3 linked regions of the Sus scrofa genome follow. The protein of the gene in region 1 interacts with the protein of each later gene in a biochemical or structural test. Links are inferred from orthologs where the notes say so. Each region holds a gene or a part of one and is shown in the gene's direction. Other genes may lie near its edges.

What was found.
Region 2: of the proteins of CDK1 (region 1) and histone H1.0, one has a biochemical effect on the other in vitro, tested with the Homo sapiens proteins (3 studies listed by BioGRID). The link is inferred for Sus scrofa from reciprocal best matches to the Homo sapiens genes CDK1 and H1-0.
Region 3: of the proteins of CDK1 (region 1) and PKMYT1, one has a biochemical effect on the other in vitro, tested with the Homo sapiens proteins (2 studies listed by BioGRID and IntAct). The link is inferred for Sus scrofa from reciprocal best matches to the Homo sapiens genes CDK1 and PKMYT1.

The regions. Positions count from the first base shown.
Region 1 is NC_010456.5:64,243,948-64,246,727, forward strand, and holds part of CDK1 (cyclin-dependent kinase 1), read left to right. Parts: intron 1-1,760; coding exon 1,761-1,924; intron 1,925-2,043; coding exon 2,044-2,185; intron 2,186-2,780. UniProt on the Homo sapiens protein: Plays a key role in the control of the eukaryotic cell cycle by modulating the centrosome cycle as well as mitotic onset; promotes G2-M transition via association with multiple interphase cyclins.
Region 2 is NC_010447.5:10,038,440-10,042,703, reverse strand, and holds histone H1.0, read left to right. Parts: upstream 1-1,461; 5' UTR 1,462-1,856; coding exon 1,857-2,441; 3' UTR 2,442-3,760; downstream 3,761-4,264. UniProt on the Homo sapiens protein: Histones H1 are necessary for the condensation of nucleosome chains into higher-order structures. The histones H1.0 are found in cells that are in terminal stages of differentiation or that have low rates of cell division.
Region 3 is NC_010445.4:39,200,517-39,204,851, forward strand, and holds the start of PKMYT1 (membrane-associated tyrosine- and threonine-specific cdc2-inhibitory kinase), read left to right. Parts: upstream 1-1,531; intron 1,532-1,840; coding exon of another isoform or gene 1,841-1,860; intron 1,861-1,934; 5' UTR 1,935-2,159; coding exon 2,160-2,178; exon of another isoform or gene 2,179-2,364; intron 2,365-4,335. Other genes in the region: uncharacterized protein LOC110260113, read right to left, coding at 451-721, 989-1,531, 1,841-1,860. UniProt on the Homo sapiens protein: Acts as a negative regulator of entry into mitosis (G2 to M transition) by phosphorylation of the CDK1 kinase specifically when CDK1 is complexed to cyclins. Mediates phosphorylation of CDK1 predominantly on 'Thr-14'. Also involved in Golgi fragmentation.

The DNA.
Region 1 (2,780 bases):
GTATAAATTCATTGCCTCTGCTCCAAAGTCATTATCCTTCATTGCCTGCTGTCTGAAAATGTATCTGGAACCTTTCAATATTTTTACTTTGCCAGCTGGTGTGATGCTACTCTTTATCAGTAGAGGGTGCTAGAGAGGCATTGCAGGAAGAAAGGGTTTTCATTGGTGTATAGTTTTTTTTTAAAGTAATTTTTATTTTTTTCCATTAGAGCTGGTTTACAGTGTTCTGTCAATTTTCTACTGTACAGCAAGGTGACCCAGTCACACATACATGTACACATTCTTTTTTCTCACATTATCATGTTCCATCATAAGTGACTAGATATGATTCCCAGTGCTCTACAGCAGGACGTTGCTATATAGTTTTTTAGAGTTATTCTTTCTAGTCAATCTCTGATTATTTGAATCCTCTGTTGTTAATAATCCTTCATAGTAAGAATTCCTATTCAGGTTGTCATGTTATTTGTCTCTTGATTGGATCTTCTCTTGAAACAGTAAGATCGGTTAAAAGAGGTTTTGTTGCTTAAAGCCTACTGTTTCAGATGTATTTAGAAGCTACTAATTATAAACAAGTTCTGTCAGTGTTGTACTGATGATATCTAGAGGGAAAGTGAATATTGAATCACTTTGTTAAGGATTGTTGGAAAACTCTTCTGTATAGGTGTCTACCTTTGAGCCCAAATACTTTCTCCAGGTTACAACTTATAGCAGTTCTCTTTTCACCAGATGTCTTGGCTTTTTTTTCTCATTCCTTTTTCTCATTTTCTCCATGGCTATATAAATAAGGATGACTTGGTTTCCATTGGCTTACACAGATGCACTTGACCTCCATTGTGATATATTAGGCATGCTAAAATAGTAGATTGGCTCCAGACCACTAATAAACTGTTTGAATAATTTATTTGTGATTTTAGTGTTTGTACAGTATCACCCCTAAATCTGTTATCAGTCAGCTTTTTTAAAGTTTAAATTTTTATTTTATTTTATTATTATTTCTTTAAAGGCAACTAGTGTGGCATGTGGAAGTTCCCCGCCTAGAGGTGGATCAGAGCTGCAGCTAGTGGTTTACACCATAGTGACGCAGGACCCAAATAGTATCTGTGACCTTCACCACAGCTCACGGCAATGCTGGATCCTTAACACACTGAGAGAGGCCAGGGATCGAACCCCTCATCCTCATGGTTATTAGTTGGGTTCATTACGAATAAGCTACAACAGTAACTCCCAATTAGCTTTTTTTTTTTTTTTTTTTACTTTTTAGAGCTGCACCTGAAGCATATGGAAATTCCCAGGCTAGGGGTCTAATTGGAGCCACGGCTGCTGGCCTACGCCAGAGCCACAGCAACGCGGGATCTGAGCCATGCCTGCGACCTATACCACAGCTCATGGCAATGCCGGTTCCTTAACCCATTGAACGAGGCCAGGGATCGAACTTGCAACCTCATGGTTCCTAGTCGGATTTGTTAACCACTGAGCCACAATGGGAACTTTTTTTTTTTTAAAGTGAAGCCTATCTTGACTATTTTGAGTTTCTCGTTTTACTCATTTGAGAAGACTTGGTAAGCTTTTATATCTCCCCCACCCCCAACATATATAACTTGGAAATGAACTATTTAACATTTAATATTATATGTAATTAATTGACTTTTAAACAGTTATCAATGACCATTATGCAGCCTTCTAAAGGACAGTCCTAATGAAATATAAATGTTTATATTTAAGCCACATTTATTCAAAGTAAAATATTTTGTTTGTAATAGGTAGTAACACTCTGGTATAGATCTCCAGAAGTATTGCTGGGGTCAGCTCGCTACTCAACTCCAGTTGATATTTGGAGTATAGGTACCATATTTGCCGAACTAGCAACTAAGAAACCACTTTTCCACGGGGATTCAGAAATCGATCAACTCTTCAGAATTTTCAGGTATTTTTGTTTTTTATACGTAAGCTGTTAAGAACTTTAAATATTAAGACAACATGTATATAATAAGATTAATGTTGATCCTTTAACTCTTCAGTTTTTGTTTTGCTATGGCTTTTTAGAGCTTTGGGCACTCCCAATAATGAAGTGTGGCCAGAAGTGGAGTCTTTACAGGACTATAAGAATACATTTCCCAAGTGGAAACCAGGAAGCCTAGCATCCCACGTCAAAAACTTGGATGAAAATGGCTTGGATCTGCTCTCGGTAAGGAATGCTCTTTATAGTGACTTGAACATTATTATTTTGAATGTACTCAGTTCTTTCTTTTACCTAGCAAACAGGAAGACAACCAACATATACTGATTGACTTAGGCGTGTAACTATTAAGTCTGTTTATTGTGTTACCAGCGCCATTTTAGATAAGAAAAAATACTAGTTCTTTTGAGAGGAGAATCTGGCATTAGTTTGCTTTTGTTCATTTGTTTTTAATCTGATAGGTAGCTATAGATACTTTGAAGGAGAGGACAAGGTTAATATACCTTTAGGTTGCTGACTTGTGGTCTTCCTTTCAAGCTTTTTTGTTCTGGTATATATTACTTTTTAGTTTAGACATAGGTGTCTTCCTTATTGCTTTATATTCTTAGTTATTAGAGCCTTTACTGATGAATTCCCATTTCTCACTTGTGCCTTGTTTCTACATCAGAAAGAGTAGTAGAAGGATGAATGTAGTTTCTAAAACTTTTCCCCTCTATTACATTGCCATTCCCAACTAACAGTTGTATTCTTTAAAAACAAGAACAACAACAAAAAATTTGTCAAGATAACGAATTGTCCTAGACCTGCCTTGGGAAATTTGTTT
Region 2 (4,264 bases), on another chromosome or scaffold:
GCTCTGGGGGACTAAACCCGAGAGAGCCACCTTCAGTGTTTTGACCTGCTGTAAACCCCCACTACCAGGGTATTGTTTAAGCGGAAGAGTGAGGGGCCTCTGCTTAGGAAATAAAAGCAGGTTGTTGCGAGAAGGGGCTCAGGGAGCCAGGCCTGAGCATCCCGGCATCTCAACCTAGGACCCCTGCCAAGGGGGAGCCGCACGCAAGTAGGACATCCGTCGCAGACGAGGGGTCTCAGGAACTCGGGGGTCCTATCTGCTAGCCTCTGGACCCCTAAAGCCCCTCAGAGCCCCCAAGACTCCTTAGGAGCCGTGGCACCCCTGGTTTTCCTCATCTGTACCTGCCAAGCAGTGGGGGGGGGAAGAAGTGTACATTGTAACAAAGACACTGCATCTTCCCAGCAAAATGGCGGTGGTCCCGGCCACAGCTCTCTGAACAACTGCCACTCTCTGAGGATTAGTCAGGACTCAGGAACAGGACCCCCTCCTCGACCTCCCTCCCTGGAGCCCCGTTTCCCCAAGCTCCCAAAGCTCTCAGGGCCTCTCCTCATCCCCGGGGCCCCTGAGACAGTCTTTGGTTAGAGCCTGCGGGGCAGCTCCTTCACTGTGAACCGCCCCCCCTCATTGCCTTCAAGGAGCCCTGGGAGGGAGCCTGGACCCCCCCAGCTGGGCCCTAGGCGTGGGGGGCAGCGAACTCTGTCTCATGACACCCCCAAACTCCTGGGCTGAGGAAGGACTACAAATGAATTCCCGGCTAGGATATATGGGGGATGTGGGGGGTCTTTGAGGAGAGGGGGTGACTCGGAAGACCCTTCGTCACTCCCTCAGGGGACCCAGGCAGCACGGGGGGTCTGGCTTCAGGACAGAACCCCGACGCAGAGGTCAGGGGGCGCGGTGGGGGAGAGGAGACCGAGGAGGGGGCAGGGACAAAGTTTGAAAGTGCCCTTCCAACTCTTCCAGGGAAAGTTTGCCTGGGGGCCCCAAGGACAGAGAGAAGGTAGAGGTGCGGGTGGGCCCGGTAGCGGGATGACCCCCGAGAGGTGATCGGACCCTGGGGGAGCGACCCCTCCCCCCTGTCCCGGCTCGGCCCGGCTGGGAGTCGCCCGGCTCGGGGCCGCGTGTGTTAGTTGGGGCCGCTTTCCGGCCGCTCCGCCGGGCTGGGGGGTCCCGCCGCGGGCCGGGAGCGGGGCCCCCGGTAGCCCCAGGGGGGAGCTTTGCTACGGGGGGTTTCCCGCACCGGGGCGCCCCGGCCCCGCAGAGCCAGCCCCCCGCAAAGGGGAAATGTGCCGGCGCGCCGGCGGTCCTCGGCGCCGTTTGGGGCGCGTGGCGGGCGCGGGGGGCGGCGGCCGGGCCGGCGGGACGCCCGGCGGGGGAGCCCAGGGAGCCAGGCAGCGGCCCTGGGCGGCGGCGGGGGCGGGAAGGCCCGGGCCGGGGGGAAAGGTCGGATTTGCTCGGCAGAAGAAACACAGATGGCGGCGGCGCGGCGCCATTCCGGGCCCGGAGCAGGCAGCCAGCAGCCCTGTCCTCACCGCGGTCCGCCCGCCGCCGCTAAATACCCGGATGCGCCGCCCGAGCGCCAGACGCGGAGCTGGGAAAAGGGAGGCAGAGGAGGCGGAGGCGGAGGCAGAGCCGGGCGCTGAGACCGACCGACAGACCCGCGGGGCCGGGCCACGCAGAGCCGGCCCAGCGAGTGCCCCCCCTCCCCGCGACCCGAGCCAGGTCCGAGAGGCGGCCCCCGGCCTGGCCTGGGAGCCAGGAGCGCCCAGAGCAGATCCCGAATCAGGCTTCCCTCGGCCTCCGACGAGGGCTGGCCCTTTGGAAGGCGCCTTCTTCAACACAGGACCAGGCAGGCCACCATGACCGAGAACTCCACGTCCACCCCGGCGGCCAAGCCCAAGCGGGCCAAGGCCTCCAAGAAGTCCACAGACCACCCCAAGTATTCAGACATGATCGTGGCTGCCATCCAGGCAGAGAAGAACCGCGCTGGCTCCTCGCGCCAGTCCATCCAGAAGTACATCAAGAGCCACTACAAGGTGGGTGAGAACGCCGACTCCCAGATCAAGTTGTCCATCAAGCGCTTGGTCACCACCGGGGTCCTCAAGCAGACCAAAGGGGTGGGTGCCTCGGGGTCTTTCCGCCTGGCCAAGAGCGACGAGCCCAAGAGGTCAGTGGCCTTCAAGAAGACGAAGAAGGAAGTCAAGAAGGTGGCCACGCCAAAGAAGACGGCCAAGCCCAAGAAGGCTGCCTCCAAAGCCCCAAGCAAGAAGCCCAAAGCAACCCCGGTCAAGAAGGCCAAGAAGAAGCCGGCTGCCACGCCCAAGAAAGCCAAAAAACCCAAGACTGTCAAAGCCAAACCAGTCAAGGCATCCAAGCCTAAGAAGGCCAAACCAGTGAAGCCCAAAGCGAAGTCCAGTGCCAAGAGGGCCGGCAAGAAGAAGTGACAATGAGGCTTTTCTTGTGGACACTCCTGCCTGTCTCCTGTTTTCTGTAAATACTTTTTTCTTCTCACTTGATCCTCATCTGCAACCCTTTGCCCCTTCCTCGTCTGACTTTATAAAGAGACAGAATTTGGATTCCTCAGAAATTAGGGAATAATTCATTTCTCTTGAAGCAGTCATGCAAGGACAGCAACGACAAATCTCTGTAATGATGTACTTCTATTTTGTTTTGTTAATTTGTCATTAATCTACTTATGGTTTGGGGGATTTGGGTGGGTTTGTGTGTTTTGTTCAGTTGGATGGTTGATTCATTCGGAAGGTAAAAGTCGGGGGAGAATGGGGCAAGGTAGCTTGTGGCAAGATGACAGGGAGCCCAGCCTTGGTAAGGTTTTAAGTTGAACACTCCTCGTGAGTTGCAGAACGTTAGCGGAGAGGAGAGAGGTGGCATCAGTGGGACGGCAAAGGAGGGAGCAGGGGAAAAAAAAAAACAAAAAACCCTGTCTGGGCTGATTTGCACCTCCCAGTGGTGAGCAGTGGGGCATCCACATCCAGTTTCCTTCTCACTTCTGTTCCTTTGCCCCTGTAGCCTCCCTATTGTCCTAGGTGAGGGGAGGAGGTCAAAATGACAGCTGGTCCTAGAAATTGTGGCTTCTCAGAATCAGCTGGAGACTAGCTATTGGGAGACCTCTGTGGCTTCCGAAGGTCTCCTGTGAAACAGCAGAGGAAGCTTTGGGGGAAGGGTGGGGAGTGGGTCAGCCAAGTGCCTCAGAGTGCCCTGTTAAAACTTGGTTTTTTTCCACACCATCGGATTGCATCCTAGGAGGACCTTTTTTCCTTTTCGCCTGATTTTTGGTTCCTCCTGTACAAGAGATGGCTTTGCCAGGTGGTCGGCCGGGGCTCCAGCCCTGCCACCCGCCACTTAAAAACCTCCTGACCTCTTTACTTCTGAGTCTTTTATGAGTAGTTGTAGATGGGGGAGGAGGGGGGCGGGGAGTGGACAGTGAGACATACTGCAGTTGACTTTGAATTGCTAAGTAGTTTTACAGAGCTAGGTCTGTGTGTATGTGTGTATATGTATATATACAATCTAGGGCTAGGACTTAACGTTTCACACCCGGGAGCTGGGAGAAAAAACCTGTACAGTCTTTCCCTTTTTTGTAATAAAATGGGAAAACGCGCAATTGTGCGTCCTTCCCCTCCCCCCCCCACCATCCCAACCCCCTTTTACTTTTTAAACAAGTGTTATTTGTGCCGGGAAGAATTTGCTGTCTTTGTAATTTTGAAACTTTAAAATAAAATTGAAAAAAAAAAAAAAGGAAAAAGCCCGTGCAGTGTGTTTTTCTTCACTTCCAAGCCTGGAGGAGAATGCGTAGCAATCGGATGGGCAAGGAGTGGGGGAAATCTCGGGGGCGTTTGCACCTGAGAATGGGGGAGGGTTCCAAGAGCTCGACAGAACCGGGGCAACCCTGGGGCTAGAGCGTACAGAATGTGCTTCAGCCCGCTTCCCGGCGCCTGCCTCCCGCGCCCGTAGGGCATCCCCTTAACCTTCCGAGTGCTAAGTGTGCAGGCAGGGGATGGGTGGGGGTCTGGAGGCCCGGACGCGCGTTCCTCCGCCCCGTCACTTCCCCTCCCCCTTTGAGGACAGCTCCAGTCTCAATTTACAGACCAATCCACTTTCGTCCACTGCGGATCCCGCCAGGCCCCGCCCGCCCATCCCTGGGTCCGCCTCCCCTGCCCCAGTAGCGGGGGCCCCTCGCTCTGATTGGCTGTCGGGGCCCAGCCCCCGCCACGTGATCAGGCGGGGGTCTCCGTGCGTACAGCCCGCA
Region 3 (4,335 bases), on another chromosome or scaffold:
CTCGGGGGAGAGGTGATCAACAAATAAACGGATAAATGGAGTTTCCATCATGGAGCAGCGGAAACGAATCCAACTAGTATCCATGGATTTGGGTTCGATCCCTGGCCTTGCTCAGTGGGTCGGGGATCCGGCGCACTGCCGTGAACTGTGGTGTACGTGGCAGCCACGGCTCAGATCCTGCCTGGCTGTGGTGGAGGCCAGCAGCTGCCCCTCCTAGCTGATCCCTAGCCTGGGAACTTCCATGTGCTGCAGGCGCGGCCCTAAAAAACAAAGCAAAACAAAACAAAAGCTGATAAGAGGATAGAATTCCAGAGAGAGATAAATGCAATGTGAGAGTAAAGCAGGAAAGGCAATGTGATGAAATGGGGAGCTTTCTAGGGAGGGTGGCCTGACCCCCCCTTGATCCTGTTATGTGGATAAAAAGGTTCTCTCTGGTGAAGGAAGAAGCTGTTAGGAATTAGCGTTTGCTCTGGCAGGCCCCTTGCTAAGAACTTTAAGCGGATCATCCCACTTGAACCTCCAGCTCCCTGAGGTAAGCGTCATCAGCTCCATTTTTACCGGAGAGGAGGTTAATCCGAAGCTCGGAAAGGCCCGGTGCATCCCCAAGGTCGTTCGGCCAGGAAGGAGCTGAGGGGAGTTTGCGCTGAGCTTACGTCTCAAATCCAAAGAATGCGAAAAGGCCCCCTCAGAGGTGGCCGAGACCTGGAAACCGGGAGGCTTCCTGCAGAGGCAGAATTTTCTAGTTCACCAAGCTGAGCGTTCCGCGGGTGGGGGGATGTCAGGGGGACAACCCCTCACCGCATCCCCAGAGCCATGCACTGCAGGCGTGAGGAGGGAGCGGCGAGCCCAGGGGACTCCACCTGCAAGAGCCCCGGAGGCCGCGGGGACTTCCTGTCAGGCCCCTAGTGACCGCCTCTTGGGGCTACACCTCCCTCCCGGGCGAAAGGCAGTGACCCTTCCTTTTATAGAGGCGAAAACTAAGGCAGACCAGCGAGGGCCGTGGGTGCCGGGACTGGGGTGTGGAGCTCTGTCGGTGTCCGAAGGTCCCTCGGTGTCCTGGGAACCAGGCGGGAGGGCCCCAGGAGCAGGTTCCGATTCCGCGTGGTGCCTCAGCCCCTCAGGCACACGGCGCAGCCAACCCCGCTCGGAGTCAGCGCCCAGGTGGCTCCGCGCTTGCGCAAGAGCCCCGCGAAGCAGGCGGGGCGGGATCGGCGACGCGCACGCCCGGACGTTGGGGGCGGAGCCCCGGCAGATTGGGCTCCTCTGATAGGCTGTCTCGGAGAGGCGGCGGGGTAAGAGGCGTTCCTGGGCGGGGCCTCGAGGCCGGTTTGGAATTTTTGGCGCGAGCTGGCTCCGCGCGCGTTCACGGGCCGTTCCCCGTCCAGAGAGTCCTCCCCGCCAGTGTGGGGAGCGGTCCACCGAAGACCCCGGCCAGCCTGATCGCTCAGGGGATCCCCGCACCCTCAGCAGACCGGAATCCGGGACCTCGCTGAGCTGCGCCCCGCCCACCCGCCCCAGGTGAGCCCATACCCTGCCCTGACATTTCCAGGGCGGAACAGCTCTCCCCACTCTTCTGCTTCCCTCGCCAGCATCCCCTTGTCCCCTGACAGCCCTTCCCCGGATCTGCCTCAGTCTCAACCCCCTCTCGCCCCCTTGCACATCCCCCTCCGACAGCCCCACCCCTCCCCTTTCTTGCCCTGCCCCTCTGCTAACCTCTCCCTGGCCCAACCCTGCCCCGGGCGGCTCCACCCACTTCCTCTCTCGAGGCTCCTGCCCCCAGACTGCTCTTGTCCTACTCCTTCTGCAGCTTCCCTGACCCCTTTCTTTTGGGACCCCTTGCCCCCAGCGACTGCTCCCCATTGAGTCGTCCCTCTCCAGGAAAACCCCCACAGACCTGTCCCCTGACAGCTGGTCTGCTCCACTCTGTTGGCCAGGGTTTGCGCCCACGGAGGTGACTCAGCTGTGGCCCTGCCCAGGAGGAACTCACAGTCTAGTGCAGTGGACCGTGCTCAGCAGATGTGTCCAGCCCAGTGAGAGGGTGAGGCCCCTGAAAGCTGCAGAGGTCGTCGCGGCCTGGCCTCCGCTCAGGACCACCCTGGATTCACCCGGAGCCCCTGCTCCTTCTACCTCCCCTGTCCCACCCCCAAAGCTGTTTGGCCATGCCAGGGGTGCTAGAACGTAAGTGACAGTGACATTGCGATGTTTTGAGAATTGGTTTAAGATGCGGGTGCCCAAGGTCCCCAAATGTCCTACGTCTGGGCCTGGAGTCTACGCCTAACCAGCACCCTAGGAGATCCTGACACCCTGATCCTTCACTTTGAGAAACTCTGGGATGGCAGAGCAAGGGTCCCCACAGGCTGTAGGGTGAGTCTTAAATGCAGACCTCTATGGGGGGGGGGTCCCCTGCCTCCCCCTCTCACTCTCCCCAGCACTTACCCCCCTGCTGGTTATGGAATCTTTTTTTTTTTTTTTTTTTTGTCTTTATTGCCATTTCTTGGGCTGCTCCCGCGGCATATGGAGGTTCCCAGGCTAGGGGTGGAATTGGAGCCATAGCCGCCGGCCTACGCCAGAGCCACAGCAACGCAGGATCCGAGCCGTGTCTGCAACCTACACCACAGCTCACAGCAACACCGGATTCTTAACCCACTGAGCAAGGGCAGGGATCGAACCTGCAACCTCATGGTTCCTAGTCAGATTCATTAACCACTGAGTCAGGGCTGGAACTCCAGGGTATGGAATCTTTTGATACACTGTGGCTTCCTCTCAAAATTGGACTCCTCTCGCATTTTTTCCCCCTCTTGTTTTTCTTTCAATTATGACATTATAGAAACACAGTAGCCCGCTCTGCCCCAACACAGAGTTGCTTATACCCATGGACCACTGTATTTTGTGTGTTCTTTCAATTACTGCTCAGAGCTTTATGTAACAGTTATTGAGGGGTCTGCATGCCAGGCGCTACACTAAGCCTTCCATGAAGTCGGCATTATAAGTCCACAAATCCCTGAGGCCAGGTGTGTTTTGGAATTCAAAGTGTCTCTGATTTTATTTTATATTTTATGTCTTTTTAGGGCTGCACCCGCGGCATATAGATGTTTCCAGGCTAGGGGTCGAATCGGAGAGGTAGCCCCAGGCCTACACCACGCCACAGCACTGCCAAATCCGAGCCGTGTCTGCAACCTACACCACAGCTCACAGCAACGCCAGATTCTTAACCCACTGAGCAAGGCCAGGGATCGAACATGCAACTTCATCATTCCTAGGCGGGTTCGTTTCCTCTGCGCCACGTCGGGAACTCCTATACTGTCTTCTATATTACATGATTAACTTTACTGGTGCTCTTTCTTTTTCACGTAGATTTGACTTACTCTTTGGGATCACAGGCTTTCAGTCTGAAGGGCTTCCTTTAGTGTTCCTTATAAAACAGGTCTGCTAGCAATGAATTTTTTCTGTTTTTGTTTATCTGCGGATATCTGTTCTCTTTTTTTACCTTTTTTTTAATCTTTTTTTTTTTTTTTTTGTCTTTTTTGTCTTTTGTCTTTTTTTTGTTGTTGTTGTTGTTGTTGTTGTTGCTATTTCTTGGGCCGCTCCCGCGGCATATGGAGGTTCCCAGGCTAGGGGTTGAATCGGAGCTGTAGCCACCGGCCTACGCCAGAGCCACAGCAACGTGGGATCCAAGCCAAGTCTGCAACCTACACCACAGCTCACAGCAACGCCGGATCGTTAACCCACTGAGCAAGGGCAGGGATCGAACCAGCAACCTCATGGTTCCTAGTCGGATTCGTTAACCACTGCACCACGACGGGAACTCCTAATCTTTTTTTTAGGGCAGCACCCGCAGCTTATGGAAGTTCCCAGACTAGGGGTCAAGTCGGAGATACAGCCGCCGGCCTACACCACAGCCACAGACATGTGGGATCCGAGCCACCCACATCTGTGACCTACACCACAGCTCCCAGCAATGCCGGATCCTTAACCCACTGAACAAGGCCAGGGATCGAACTTGCAACCTCATGGCTCCCAGTCAGATTTGTCAACCATTGCGCCACGATGGGAACTCCTGAGAGTGCCTTCAGGCTTGAACTTTTCACACTCTGCTTCTCATCAAGTCAGTGTTTTGCAGGGAGAACTTTGGAGCTCTCTGTTTTATGACCTCTTCCCTGGGCAGGATCCCCAAGCCAGAGTTCTGGAGCGGGGGGCAGGGACAGTGGTGCCTCGGAGTGGAGGCAGTAGCCCCTGGCCTGCCTGGCTTGCCTCGCCCAGGGTGGAACCTTCTCCCTAGGAATGAGCTGAGACTTGAGCCGTGGGGCTTCAGGATTGCCAGCCCACTGGAGCTGC